Ovis aries: one gene and its partner. The protein of the gene in region 2 purifies or fractionates together with the protein of the main gene of each other region. This does not show direct contact. Links are inferred from orthologs where the notes say so. Each region holds a gene or a part of one and is shown on either strand. Other genes may lie near its edges.

The links.
Region 1: the proteins of TADA3 (region 2) and TAF10 purify together in Homo sapiens (affinity purification with mass spectrometry; 5 studies listed by BioGRID and IntAct, counting the BioPlex papers as one, with this or other methods). This does not show direct contact. The link is inferred for Ovis aries from reciprocal best matches to the Homo sapiens genes TADA3 and TAF10.

The regions. Positions count from the first base shown.
Region 1 is NC_056068.1:46,194,034-46,201,451, reverse strand, and holds TAF10 (transcription initiation factor TFIID subunit 10), read right to left. Parts: upstream 4,496-7,418; 5' UTR 4,471-4,495; coding exon 4,239-4,470; intron 4,101-4,238; coding exon 3,946-4,100; intron 3,710-3,945; coding exon 3,645-3,709; intron 3,557-3,644; coding exon 3,442-3,556; intron 3,259-3,441; coding exon 3,169-3,258; 3' UTR 3,088-3,168; downstream 1-3,087. Other genes in the region: ILK (integrin-linked protein kinase), read left to right, coding at 350-515, 686-781, 965-1,061, 1,155-1,238, 1,338-1,423, 1,542-1,651, 1,761-1,888, 1,984-2,105 and 3 more. UniProt on the Homo sapiens protein: The TFIID basal transcription factor complex plays a major role in the initiation of RNA polymerase II (Pol II)-dependent transcription.
Region 2 is NC_056072.1:16,900,615-16,908,167, reverse strand, and holds the end of TADA3 (transcriptional adapter 3), read right to left. Parts: intron 7,505-7,553; coding exon 7,401-7,504; intron 7,365-7,400; exon of another isoform or gene 6,867-7,364; coding exon 6,792-6,866; exon of another isoform or gene 5,868-6,791; coding exon 5,758-5,867; exon of another isoform or gene 4,609-5,757; coding exon 4,423-4,608; exon of another isoform or gene 4,347-4,422; coding exon of another isoform or gene 4,253-4,346; exon of another isoform or gene 2,512-4,252; coding exon 2,319-2,511; 3' UTR 1,956-2,318; downstream 1-1,955. UniProt on the Homo sapiens protein: Functions as a component of the PCAF complex. The PCAF complex is capable of efficiently acetylating histones in a nucleosomal context. The PCAF complex could be considered as the human version of the yeast SAGA complex.

The DNA of each region.
Region 1 (7,418 bases), on a different chromosome or scaffold from region 2:
TGAAAACAGAAAAGAACCAACAGATGTTGCCAAAGGGGTGCAGAGGAAACCAGATGAAGAATGTTACCATTTAATGATAGAAGGTGCCTGGGAAGAAAGGCTAGAGGGAGATGAAAACAGTGAATCATATGGAATTGTTGGGATTTCAGGTAGTGGTTGGTTGGGTTTGAAACTCGGGAAGGTCTGGACTGGACAGCTTTGGGAGTTGCTGGCATGAATGAGAATCAAAGTTCTAGAGGTAAGGCTTCCCAGGGAAGAGTATGCAGAGAGAATATTAAAGTTTTTCCTGTGTCAAAGCCTTTGCCCCCATCCCACTTCCAAATCAATGACCCTTGCGCCTTCCTCATAGGGATGATCATGGCTTCTCCCCCTTGCACTGGGCCTGCCGAGAAGGCCGATCTGCTGTGGTTGAGATGCTGATCATGCGGGGGGCACGAATCAATGTGATGAACCGTGGGGATGATACCCCTCTGCACCTGGCAGCCAGTCATGGGCACCGTGATATTGTACAGAAGGTATGTATGAACCCCTTGATGCACATGCCTGGAAGTAAGACACAGGCATTATAACATAACGTACAAAGTATGTGTACTCATCTCCTTCCTTCCTTGCATGCCTTAGTACACTTCTCTCATTTGGGACTGACTGTACCTTCTACCTCTTTCTATTTGGCTATGGGCACCAGCTGCTACAGTACAAAGCTGACATCAATGCGGTGAATGAGCATGGGAATGTGCCCCTGCACTATGCCTGTTTCTGGGGCCAAGATCAGGTGGCAGAGGTGAGTACTCAGGCCCTGAACTCTGGGATGGGTGGGAAGAAGTTTGAGCTTGAGTGGGAGACTCTGGAACCCTCAACCCATCCTGTGAGTACTGTCCTGTGTGCAACATTCACAAGGTTTGTACTGCATCTGCACTCATGCTTAGTTGGGAATGCCCTCATCACAGCCATCTCTTAATTCCAGGACCTTGTGGCGAATGGGGCCCTTGTCAGCATCTGTAACAAGTATGGAGAGATGCCTGTGGACAAAGCCAAGGCACCCCTGAGAGAGCTGCTCCGAGGTCTGTCCCCACCCACCGCTGTGTCCTCGTCTTGTCCTAGCCTGTCTCTTTCCACACAACAGCTGAGGTCAAGACTTTGTCTTTCTTCCCCAGAGCGGGCAGAGAAGATGGGCCAGAATCTGAACCGTATTCCATACAAGGACACATTCTGGAAGGGGACTACCCGCACTCGGCCCCGTGAGTCAGCTGTGAGGGGAGGGGTGGTGAGAGAATAGTCCTGGACTCCTGGGGCTGGGAAAGAGGGAAGCTGGGTGCCTGACCTGCCCACACTCTCAGGAAATGGGACTCTGAACAAACACTCCGGCATTGACTTCAAACAGCTCAACTTCCTGGCGAAGCTCAACGAGAATCACTCTGGAGAGGTAACTCCCCACCCCACCCTATTACCTGTTGTGCACCTGTTTTAAGTCTCTCCTCCAGTTAGTGGGCAAGAAAACAGTGGCCTTAGTTAAAGCCTTCTAACCCTTATCTGTCCCTCAGCTATGGAAGGGCCGCTGGCAGGGCAATGACATTGTCGTGAAGATGCTAAAGGTTCGAGACTGGAGTACAAGGAAGAGCAGGGACTTCAATGAGGAGTGTCCCCGGCTCAGGTGGGGCAAGGCCTAAACTGGAAGCCTTGATTTCAAGGAGCCCTGTCAGCACCCAGAGGGAGATCTTTTATGCTGGATCTCAGCCAGGGGCATTCTCTCCCTCTTCCAGGATTTTCTCACATCCCAATGTGCTCCCAGTGCTTGGTGCCTGTCAGTCTCCACCTGCTCCTCACCCGACCCTCATCACACACTGGATGCCATACGGATCCCTGTACAATGTGCTACATGAAGGCACCAGTGAGTAGGGAGTGCCAAATCTCACTGCAGCAGGGTGTGGGGAAGGAAAGTCTGTGAGCCTCTCCAAATGATTTAACTCTTGCCTTCTCACTTAGATTTCGTTGTGGACCAGAGCCAGGCTGTGAAGTTTGCATTGGACATGGCAAGGGGCATGGCCTTCCTACACACACTAGAGCCCCTCATCCCACGACATGCACTCAACAGCCGTAGTGTAATGGTGAGATCACAACTTCACTCCCGGCCCAAGCCCCAGAGGTCCTTTCCCTAGAATAGGACTTACCTCCTTCCACACAACTATCTTCTCTTCCTCAGATTGATGAGGACATGACTGCTCGAATCAGTATGGCCGACGTCAAGTTCTCCTTCCAGTGCCCCGGGCGCATGTATGCACCTGCCTGGGTGGCTCCTGAAGGTGAGTGATGGCATTATGATGTGAGGCAGAGAAGGGGCAGCTCAGTAGTAATGGAAGGGAACACAGACAGGACAAGCAGCTGGAACAGATAAGTCCTATCCCTCTAGCTCTGCAAAAGAAGCCTGAAGACACAAACAGACGCTCAGCAGATATGTGGAGTTTTGCAGTGCTTCTGTGGGAACTGGTGACACGGGAGGTACCCTTTGCTGACCTCTCCAACATGGAAATTGGAATGAAGGTGAGAGCATAACTGGATATACTTGTGGTGGTAGTGACAATAATTGTAGTGGGGCTGGGCTCCTGCCACATTGATTCAAATACACAGAATCCTGTCCTGAGGGCTAGACGTCTCTCCCGACATGAGACTCAAGTTCTGAGACTCACCTTGTTTTTCCTTGTGTTTGCAGGTGGCATTGGAAGGCCTTCGGCCTACCATCCCACCAGGCATTTCCCCCCACGTTTGTAAACTCATGAAGATCTGCATGAATGAAGACCCTGCTAAGCGGCCCAAGTTTGACATGATCGTGCCTATCCTGGAGAAGATGCAGGACAAGTAGAGCTGGAAAGTCCTTATCTGAACTCCAGAGGTGTCAGGACACGGTTAGGGGAGTGCACCTCCCCAAAGCAGTAGGCCTCTGGTTGCCTCCCCTGCCACTAGTCATGGTACTACCCCAGCCATGGGGCCCATCCCCTGCCCCCATCCCTACCACTGTGGCCCCAAAAGGGAATGGGCTCAAAGCTTTGTCACTTGCCACACGGTGTCTCCCAGCATGGGAGGGATCAGCCCTGCCTGTCACAATAAAGTTTATTATGAAAACAGGCTGGTGTGGGGACAAGAGAACAGACAAGTACATTTAGACTGGGTGGCTCAGGTGAAGTAGTGCGGCTTCTTCACATTGATGCCATACTCGCTGAGGGCAGGGGTCAAGTCCTCCATGGTTAGAGTGTACTTGCGGTCCTGAGGGAAGAGGGAAGAGCACCAGCTGAACACAGGAATTCCAGATTTCAATCCCAGGCAGGTGACCCTGAGTAGGTCTTTCACCTCCCCTAAGGCTTAATTTCCCTCAAAGGGGTTTCAGGATAATTTAAGCCTCTGCTGCTGTAGGAAGTAATTACTGAATCAATGAGCCTCCCCTCACACCTTGCTCTTGCTTCGGGAGCTGCCAGAGGCTGTGCCCTTCATTTTGCAGTGCTGTAGGGCATCGTTGGCAATATCTGAGATGAATTTCTGGGCAGCTAGGGAGATGAGCCGAATTCTGGAGAGAAAAAAATGGTATGAGAAGAGCATAGACAATAAACTCCACACAAACACCCAACACTCTAACCTGCCCAGAGTTTACTCACATGCGTGGGTCGGAGGCCTCAAAGCCAGCACGGTTCAGGTAGTAACCAGTCACTGCATCAGGGATCTGAGAAATCAATTAGACGACTGTAAGCGTTAGCCCTGTGTACAGCGGGGCTGAGAGTCGGGGTAAGGGAAATGGAGGGCAGGCCTGGCTATCAGGAAGCTCCCAGTTTGGGTGGGCAGAAGGGAAAAATCACAAAAGCTAGGAAGAGAAACACAAGAGGATGCTGCAAATCCAGATGGTGTGGCAGAAGTTGGCGTGACAGCGAGTCATTAGCCTTGTTCAGGCAGGAAGCCCACCGTAGGCGTGTAATCCTCCAGCTGCATCAGGAAGTCCACTAGAGGCGTGCTGGACACCACTGGCTTCACCTCTCCGTTGGCCGCGCTTGGCAGCACGTAAACCCCGTTAGACATGGCCCCCTCCGGGGGCGCCGCGCCGCCGGTCGTCACTGGAGCTGGAGGAAAACCAGCAAACTGAGACACGGAGGTGGGAGGCTCGAGGGTTCCGCTAGGTGTGTCTTACCCTCTGCCCTCACCCGCCGCTGGGCCCAGCCCAAAGCGCGGCCCTCGCCCTCACCCGTCCCGGCCCTCACCCGCCCCGCGCCGCTCGGCAGGCTCCCCGGCCCGCGCCGCCACGGCTCCAGTGCCCCCTGCCGCGGCTCCAGCCCCAGGCCCCCCTGACGTCCCCGCGGGGCTGGCCTTGTTCTCCGCGGCGGTGCCGGCGGGCAGCGCGGCGGGGGCCGAGACCGCGGGCGCCGGGCCCGGGGCCGAGGCGGCGGAGGCCGGCGCCGCCTCGGGGTCCGCGCCGGAGCCGCTGCAGCTCATCGGGCCGGTGGGAGAGGCGGCGAACAGAGCCGCTTCCGCTTCCGTTCACCTTACGCACACACCAGGGGTGACGTCACGCGCCCCACGACTCGTTCCTCCCACGCCACGTTCGCTCCTCCCTTAGGCCTCCTTCCTTTATTCCCCGCCCATCCAGCCGCTACCTGACAAAGGCGGGAGGGCGGAGACCAAGTGTTGCGGAACTGGGCTGGCGCGGACATTTCGCGTCCGGACCCGCGGTTCTCCAGTGTGGATCCGCTGGGATGGGAACCCCTCAATGTCGAGGATTCTCTTCTATGGGCTTGAGGCCCCCTCACCCAGCCTGACGTCTAAAATTCTTGCTTTGATGCTCATCGCCCCGACACCTCTCTACTGTTGGTCGCCTGCGTGTCTGCATCTTTTCTAAGTTCCTTTATCCAGCCTTTTAAGGGTTTGTAGTGGAGTTGAATAGCCTCTTTCCCCGCCAGCTGCCCAAAGTGAAGGTAACCGGACAGCTGACACAGTGCTGCTGCAGATGGGGAGAGAGGTACAGTCCACCGTCCGTATAGGTGGTGAAGGGTTGGTAGGATTGGTTCCGGGACTCCCCCGACTCCCGTCCCCAACCCATGTATACCAAAATCCGTGGATGCTCAAGTCCGTTATATGAAATGGCATAGTATTTGCACTGTATACTCTATATAATCTCTAGATTGCTTATAATATCCAATGCGATGTGAATAGTTTACTGGTGCATGGTAAATTCAAGTTTCGTCTTTTATAATTGGAATTAAAAAATATATATATCTTCAGTTCACGGTTGGGTGAATCTGTGGATGGAGAACCCGAGGATACAGAGGGATGGCTGTCTTTCAGTCTTAATAAACAATTTATGTAAAATCACGGCTAGTGAAAGAGTGGGGTTTTCAACACAGCAAAAATTTATTTTTGTCAGTCCTGAGCTAGGGTCTGCAAATACAGAGTTAAGTAGGAGAAGGTTCTACTCCTCCGGGCACCAGTGGTCTTGCAAAGGGAGGCATTAACAGTTAAACTTGCCATTTCACCAATATATGGGAGTTAAAATACTGGAGGTAGACACAGGGTGTGCAGTGCAAGGGAGGAAGGGAACTAATAGTTGCTGCCTACATCTGTGTGTTAGGCATTCCATTAAGTTTATTCCACTTAATGATTTCCTGAATATTAGAGGCAGGTATCAATATCCTCACTTAACAGATGAGGAAAAAGTCTCCAAGAGTTGAACTTACTTCCCCCAGGCTCTCTCTAGTCTATATCAGAACCAAGAATCTAGGACTTTTCTGTCATACCCACATCAACTAGCTTCAGGGAGCCAAAAGATTCACAAGAGGTGAGCTGAGTTTTGAAAGAATTCTGGACCTCAGCCAGGCACAGGAAGCCAGGGGTAATGTTAGGGCACAGAATATCTTGAGCAACAGTGAATGAAAGTGCATGGAGGGGAGTGTGGGGAGACCGGGAAGGGTAAACAATTTGTTACTTGGAAACAAATAGCAAGTAAAGAGATAGGTTTGTAAGTCATGATAAAAAGCTTGACCTATATCCAGTAATCTTTGAAGGCTCTTAATTAAGTAGATGACCTCATGAGATTTGCTCTGATAGTTGGTTTTGGGGCTTCCCTTGTGGCTCAGTGGTAAAGAACATGTCTGCCAATGCAAGATACCCATGTTCCATCCCTGGGTCAGGAAGAACCCTGGAGAAGGAAGTGGCAATCCACTCTGTATTCTTGCCTGGGAAGTCCCATGGACAGAGGAGCCTGGTGGGTTATAGTCCATGGGGTTGCAAAAGAGTCAGACACAACTTAGTGAATAAAGAACTGGTAGATGGTTTAGGGAAAGGCAGGATGTAAGGGCACTTCTTGCAAGGGCCTCAATTCAGAGGAGCGGGAATATGGCTCACAGCTCATGTAGTAGCAGTGGAGCTGGAGAGAAGTAGATGAATTCAAGATACACTTTGGAAATATAATTGGAAGAACTTTTGGGTTGATAAAGATGTATTTAAGAGATAGAGTCAGTAGGACTTGTTGACAAGGAGATGATGGGAGGAGGTGAAGGAAATGGGAAACTTGGATGATACTTTAGGTTTCTGGCTCAGTTGGAAGTGTCAAGCATAGTGTCATTTATAAATAAGAAAAGAGAACAGTTTGGGATTGGGAAGAACGGAGATGAACTATTGAGAATTACACATCTTGCTTTTGAGGTATCAATCCCTGTAGGATGGAAAGTCCGATTTAGTGAGATGGTGATGGCTGTGGATGCCAGTCATTGATTTGTTTCAGTGGACAATGAGTCAAGTGAGAAGAGCAAAAGACAAAGGATAGAGCAAGGATACTACATGGATTAGGTATGATTAGCATTTACACAGTTGTACCATTGCAAATCCTGTATGCAGCTCAGACAAAAATAGAATTGTATCGAGAGGACAAAAGAATGGGTGGTGCGGATTTTGAGTGATTGGGACAAGGAAGAAGAATGATCACAAGCTAATAGGAAGTCAGTAATGGCTATAATTGGGCAGGGGGAAATCAATAAACAGCAACATAAGCATGTTATTTAGAGATAAACTAGTGGTGGAAAACATGCCTGCCAATGCAGGAGATTTAAGAGATGCAGGTTCCATCCCTGGGTCAGGGAGATCCCCTGGAGGAGGGCCTGGCAACCCACTCCAGAATTCTTGCCTGGAGAACCCCAAAGACAAAGGAGCCTGGCAGGCTACAGTCCATGGGGTCACAAAGAGTCGGACACGACTGAAGCGACTTAGCACACACTAAAGAATCATCAGAAACAGTTGAAATGATTGCCTCAAGTAGCAGGAAATGGGGGTAGATATATAAGGCGTGGCTATTTTTTAGCAGTAAGACTTAAAGAAGTATTTGACAATGTGCCCATATACTTTGATAAAATAAAAACCAAGAGTTATAAAATTTTACAAAAGGATAGAGC
Region 2 (7,553 bases):
TTCTACCTAATCTCGGGACCTTGGCTGCCATCCTTCCTCCTCCACAAAACTGTCGCTGTTCCTGGAACACTGTGCTAACGACGCCTACTATACTTATGGTCTGGTCTAATGGACAGGGAAATGAGTCGTAACTAAGAACAGGGGGTCTGTAGGCAGGGCTTGCATGTATTGCTGTACAGGTTGTGCACCACCTAAAGCTGAAGCACCATACGCAGACTCTAAGGAAGTGGGGCCCTGATGTGTTGTGTCATAAAGAGACTCAGTGTGCAAGTCAAATTGACTGAGCTTGAAACCATGCTCAACCACTAATCCACTACTTGAGCAGGCAAGGTATATCAATTCCTAAGACTTAAGTTTCCTCATCTGTGACTGGGGTATTATTAGTACCTACATGAGGGATGTTTGAGAAGATTCAGTAGCTTAAAAAGTTTAGCAGTGCCTTGTACAAGGCCGAATTTATTGAGCACTTAATTTTAGAAATTAAGTGTGGGTGTTTCTCTCTGAGAAGGCTGTACAGAACCGCAGGGCAGTGAATCACTGAAAAGCTGCAGCAGCACCTCCCCCGGCCCTCCACTGCCACATAGCAGGAGGCAGAGCCTCCCTCATGCTGTCCTTTCTCTCAGGACCGCACACCACCCTTCTTTTTGCCAAAATACACTTTCATTAGTCACATCTTTTCTAGTTGACAAATGACAAAGCCCCAAAGTAGACTAGCGTAAGCCGAAATAAACATTTGTGGGCGAATATAACTGAACTCCAGTGGAGGATCCAGGGCATCAGCTGTATCATTCGAGAGCTCTGTCTTCCATCTCCTGGCTCTGCTTCCTAAATTAGCTGTATTCTCAGGCAGACTTTTCCATGTGGCTGGAAAATGGGTTACTGGGTGGTTCAAGCTTATATTCTGTGGTTTTTCGCTCAAAAGAGACGTCCTCCTTTCTTTCAGCATCCATAGAGCAGGCTTACGGAAGGCCTCTGATTGGCCCAGCTTGGGTCACTTGCCCATTCTTTGGACCAATCATTGTGGCTAGAGGGATGGCAGACTGAGATTGGCCATGCTGGTGTCATGTGTCCACCCTCTTTTGACAGCCCACAGAGCTAGGTGGAATGGGAAAAAGGCAGTTCTCTAACAGGAGACGTGTTGGCCGTATAAGAATGTTGGCCATCCTGGCCATCCTCCTTTAATGCTCGGTTCATAGGTCACTTCCTCAAGGAATCTCTGCCCCCCGCACCTCCCCACTCCGCCTCCATGTGGACCTCAACCTTCCCACAGTAAATTGCAAAATATTCTCTGACTCTCTGACACCACAGAGAGTTTAGGAACAGTTGGAGACAAAAACAAGAGTGTTTATTCATCTGTTCTACCCTGTCTCCCCACTGCCTTAGGCTTAGTGGGGAAGCAGACTCCTTTCTCATGGAGAGTGGTCTAAACCCATTAGAGTCATCCCTTGCTAGTGGCTTGTTCAGGAATGGGCATGTAGGACCAAGATTGGGCTGGTGAGACCTAAGGGTGTCTGAGAAAGGCTTCTTCTTCTTTGGGGTGGGCTGTGGAAGCCAGCTGGTGCCTTCCTGCCCTCTTGTGCTGGACAGAAATAAGGAAGCATTTGGCCTCCATCAGCTGCTACTGGCTGCCACTGCACAGCAGGAAGGGAACCTACTTCAGGCAAAAGCTGACACCATGGGAGAGTGGAGATCCCTGGCCCTTTGGTCAACCCTGGTGGATGCCACCCTGCCCCCGGAACACCAGACCCCTAGCTAACACAATGTCCTTATTGTCAAACCACCTTGAGCTGAGATGTTGTTACCTGTGGCCACAGATATCTTCAGAAAGTTCTCCCTGAATGAATGACCTGGGTGAGTGGCCACAGGCTGACAGCCATTGAGCATGCCCTAGTCAACTCTGCCACTCACACCAGTTCCTTTCTACCCCACAGTAACAGACATGCAGAGATTCTGGATACTTTTTAAAAAAACCATGTTTCAGTCACTTTATTCTTAAGTCTGCACTTTACAAAACCACAAGGGAGAAGTCCTTGAGGGTGAAAGGGGTAGGGAGGGTAGGGGGTGAGGATGACCCAAAAATGAAGCCCCCCCCTCATCTGGGGGACCAAGCAGAGTCTGGGTCCCAGGCCAGCCCAGCAGGGCCTCTCATGTCCTGGCTGTACAGAGTTTCGCCAGAACATGTCAGCGAAGGGCCCAGCCTCTAGAGACTGCTGCCATTTGACACTAGCTAGGCAGCCACAGGCCAAACTTCTGGAAGCCCGAAGGAAGCGGGCCTTCCGTCCCAGGCCAGGGGAAGGCGGCCTGAGCAGGGGTGAGAGCTACCCATCCAGCAGCTTCAGGATGCTCTCGCGCTCCTTCAGAGTCTTCCAGGCCTGGTCTTTCTCCTTCTTGGTGGGGGTCCGTTTCTTCTGCCGGGCAGCCATGATCTTGCGGAAGGCATCCATGACCTCATTGTCTGCCATGCGGACCCGCTGCCTCAGCTCCTGCCGGCTCACCTCCTCCTTCGCCAGCCTATGGGGACCAGCCAACCAGATGCTGTGGGAAGCCCACGATTGCAGGGGCTCCTCGCTCTTCCAGACTGAGCCCGTCTGCTACCCAGGGACCGTGGGCCTTTCCATACCAAAAAGCAAAGTTACTGAGCCACACTTAGGTGTGCCCTGTGCCAAGTACTGCCTCTTCAAAAACAGTAGTTCAATTAATCCTCATAACAACCTTGTGAGGTAGGTACTACTATTATTCTTGTTACCAGTGAGGGAACTGAGGCTCAAGGAGGCTAAGAAATGCCCCAGGATCCCGCAACTAGTGAACAGGAGATCTGAATCGAGGCAGGCTGGCTCCCACTATCTTTAAAAGGTGCCCTGGTGCCAGCAGAAGACCTGCTTGCTTCAGCATCCAAATTCCAGAGCCACCTAAGGGTCCAGGCAGCCTGAGTCTACAGGAGGCGAGTGAGACGCCCAACTAATGCCTCTGAACGGAACCTGACCTATCAACTCAATTGATGGTGGAGCTGGAAGGTCACTAAAGAGATCCATAGTCTAACCTGTTGATTTTTCAGAAGGGGAAGCTGCTGCTTGGGGCAGGAGATGCCTTGCAGCCTGTCCATGCAGGACTGAGGGGTACATGCGGGCCTTCTGACAGCCAAGCTAGTTCCTTCACTGCCCCTGACTTCCACATCTGCACAGCCGTACTTCTCTCTCTCCCCCCCTCTGCCCTTGCCCTCCCTTCCTCTGTACTCTTTCATCTGTATTTTCCTCTTCTTGCCCTTGAGAGGGAACTAGAATGAGGCTTTGGACTCAGCCTTGGGCTTGAGTCACAGCTTGGCTGTTTGCTGGCTGTGTGGCCTTCGGCAGAGCACTCATTTCGCTGGGCCTTTATTTCCTCATTTGGTGCACAGGGAAAACTACCAGCTACTCTCTGGGCTGTAGTGGAGATTAAGTAAGAGGGCAGACATAAAACCCATGGTACATGGTAGACACTCAGTACACCTGCATCCTCAAATACCGCAGCAGCTCGTCAGCAACTTTCGTTCCTACTGGTGAGTGTCTTTGCCAACCACTCATGCAATGACCGTAAGCCCTTTGCCCTGCCTCTCCTCCTAACCCACAGGACCAGGTCTAAGAGATAGGCAACCTGGCCAAATGGATGAGCGTGCCTTGCTCTGCTGGGGCTCTGTGAGGTGAAGACACAGCACCCACCAGAAGCAAGGAGACTTAGTTGGGCTATTTGTCTATCTCCCCAATAAAATGGCAGTGCCTCCCGTGATCTCCCTCTGGTTACCACCTGCATCCTTGTGACCGATGCAGGGCAAGATGTATGGGAATGAATACACAATGAGTGACGTTGCACTTCAACACTGGCCAACTCCTGGTGAGAGGCTGATAATCACAGATGCCCAACTAAATGTTAACAGTTGCTAATCTGAGGTAGAGAGTATATTGGTGTTTACTGTGCTAGTCCGTCAGATTTTCTGCATGTATGAAATTTTCACTATAAAACTTGGGCGAAACAAAAGGTCCCTGGTTCAATCCTGAGTTTTGGCACCAAAAACAAAGATCAAGAATTTTTTTAAAAAGCACACTTTGGGAGAAAAAGAAAATCAGCATGGAGAGAATTAAAAAATAAGCCACACAACAATGTGAGTATAATTAACACTACTAAACTGTACACTTAAAAATGGTTTAGAGGGTAAAATTTTGTGTTATTTGTTTTTACCACAGTTTGAGGTAAATAAATAACTCACAGATGCTCAGCTCTAGTCAGTGGAATTAGACTGTTTGAGATATAACCAGTGGGGTGGTGCCCAGCAATGACTTCTTTTTTCAAAGCTCCTCAGGTCTTCAGAGGCCCTGCCAGGTTTGGAAAGCCTGTCGTCAAGCTCCCAGAAGGGGACCATTGTGGCCGAGGCCTCCCGTCCACACTCACCTCAGCAGGTCGTGCTTCTTGGTGCGGTTGTGGGCACTGAGCGCCTTCAGCTCAGCCTGCCGCTTGCGCAGCTCCGCCAGAACCTCGTCCTCTGAGTCCTCTGCAGGGCGGTCCTCAGACTCCAGCAGGCCCTGGGCGATCAGCTCCTCCTTAATGCGGCTCTCCAGGGACTTGGTATGCGGCACACTGCAGGGGAGGGCAGTGCTCAGCTCAAGGCCAGCCCATGGGGGCCCCTCTGAGGCACCCAAGCTAGCAAACACCTTCCCTTCTCTTTGGGACACCCTCTCTGTCTCTACATATCAAAATACAGAGACAGACACATCTTGTTTCAGACACAAGCAACAGATATCAATATATTATGTAATATAAAATACAGGAAAACCTATAATGCTAACAACCTAGAGAGAATTATTATGTTATCTGTTATTATTACTTACCATTTTCTTTCCAGTGGTATATACATAAAAATATGTATTTTATGTTAAGGCTTCCCTTGTAGCTCAGTCGGTAAAGAATTTGCCTGCAGTGCAGGAGACCTGGGTTCGATCCCTGGGTTGGGAAGATCCCCTGGAGAAGGAAATGGCAACCCACTCCAGTATCCTTGCCTGGAAAATCTCATGGACAGAGGAACCTGGTGGATTGCAGTCCATGGGGTTGCAAAGAGTCGGGCACGACTGAGTGACTAACACACACATTATATAAACACTATACGTATTCTAGATTGTGTTACATATTAGTCTCACTTTTTTTTTTAATCTTTTGGCTACACCTCATGGCCCTGTGAGATCTTAGTTCTCTGACCAGGGATTGAACTCGCACCCCCTGCACTGGTAGTGTGGAGTCTTAACCACTGGACAACCCAGGAAGTCTCTCTTCCCACTTTTATTATGTATTATTTTAACTTCTTACCCGCTATGTGCACACATTTAAATATATCTTAAGTAAAAATAGGGTCATATTGTTCATATTGTGCTACAACTGATGTTTTCCACTTATCACTCTACTGATCCCATCTTTTCATATCAATTAATTATATTTCTCTAATATGATTGATAATTACAAGTTATTTCATCATATGGAGTTACAATGAGTTAGCTGGCCAGTCCCCTCCAGTTGGATATTTAGGTTTACAGTGAGAACAGGGCCATAATGAAAACCCTGAACTAAGTCTGTGTACGTGGAAGTGCTGGGCCAGCACGCACATCTGACTTCTATTGGGCTTTATCAAAATGTCCTCGGTCTCTCTATGAATATAAAGACTACCCCACGTTGGGATTGACAGAAGTCAGCAGAAGCAGAGGCCAGACTGTGGAGTGTGGACACGATGTCACTCACCTGAAGGGCTTGTTCTGATTGCGGGGAGAGGTGCTTGCCCCATCCGCCCCCGATTCTTTTCCAGACATGTCTGGAATAGGAGAGTCCTCCATGGGGGAAATAATATTTTCCTAGAAGAGCACAGAGATGGTCAGAGGAAGAAAGAGATGTAGTATTACCATTTCCTGCTTCCCTCTGACCTACATGGACAGTCTTCACATACCAGAAATCTTTTCTTCTTCGCATTCCACCCACTCTGGGAAGTTTTCCCAAACTGGCTCCAAAAAGCTTTGATCATTTTATAAATTCTTGTTTTTGTACTGATACAAAAGGGAGCACAGAAGAGTGATGGTAACATTCAATAGCAGTAATGAGAAGAACTAGGGCTCGTTAAGCATTTGCAGTGCACCAGGGGCTGTGCTAGGCACACGGTACTGAGCACAGGGGCTGTACCATAGCAGAGGTTGCTGGCTGTCCGAAAGCCATTCTCGCCTTTCCTCCACAGGAGCTGGGCTAATGGCTGCCCAGATGAACCCCACTTCCCAGCCTCCCCTGTAGTCGGGGTGGTCATGTGACAAATACTCTCCAATGGAAAGTGATTAGAAGAGATAAGAGCCATAGCCAGCGGGATCTTCACACACTCCTCCTTGCTCTTTTTCTGTGGGCTGGAGTGCCAGTCACATTTGGAGTGATCCTGTGCAGAGCGCATGTTTACAACAGCAAAGTGGGCTTCCCTGGTGGCTCAGTGGAATGCAGGAGACACAGGTTTGATTCCTGAACCAGGAAGATCCCACATGCCGCAGAGCAACTAAGCCTGGGCACCACAACTACTGAGCCTATGCTCTAGAGCCCGGGAGCTGCAACTACTGAGCCTGTGCGCCCCAGAGCCCCTGCTCCACAACAAAAGAAGCCACTGCAATTACAAGCCCAAGCACCCCAACTAGAGAGTAGCCCCTGATCGCCACAACTAGAGAAAAACCTAAGCAGTAACGAAGACCCAGCACAGCCAAAAATACATATATACATTTTTTTAAACAATTAAAAAGCCAGCAAACCTGGGGTCCCTGTCTGATGGTGTGGAACAGAGATCTCCCCCAGCCTCCACTGATCTGGAACATGTGCCCAGAATGCTACATGGGAGAGAAAGAGGCTATTGTGTTTGAGCCAGAGGGAAAACTGAGGCTCATAGGTGAAGAAACATGGCTTGGGATAGCCAGTGGGCATAAAGAAAGGGCACCTGAACCTGGTGTTTGAAGCCTGCTTCCGCTTGTTAGCTGTGTGATGTCAAGCAAACAGTTCCCTTTTTTGAGCCTCAACCTTGTTTGGTGTAATGTGGGGTTAACCACTATCTGCCTTTAACAAGAGGATGTGTAGAAAGCCCTTTGCACAGGGCCTTTCACTAATGCTCCACAAAAGTAACTGTGGAATAGTGGCTACCCTGGAGGTGGGGGAGGTTAAACACTGGGAGGGGCATGAGAGGGCCTTCAAGGATACTGATGATGTTTTATTTTGTGATCTTGGGACTAGTTGTACAAGGCTGCTCATTTGTGAAAATCGATCAAGCTGTACATTTATGACCTATGTACCTTTCTAAATATATACTTCAATAAACAAACATTGAAACAGAATGATAGTGGTTTCTGTTTTGCATTGGGGGTACTCACCTCCACCAAGGCCTGCAGCAGACGCTGTGTCAGGGCACCAAAGGGACACCCGTCTTCTGGCTGCTCATGCTGGGCCTCAGACTTCTTCAGCAGGGCATCCACATCTGAATTGGGCAGACACATGGTAGACTCGTGGGCTGAAGTTCTGGGAAC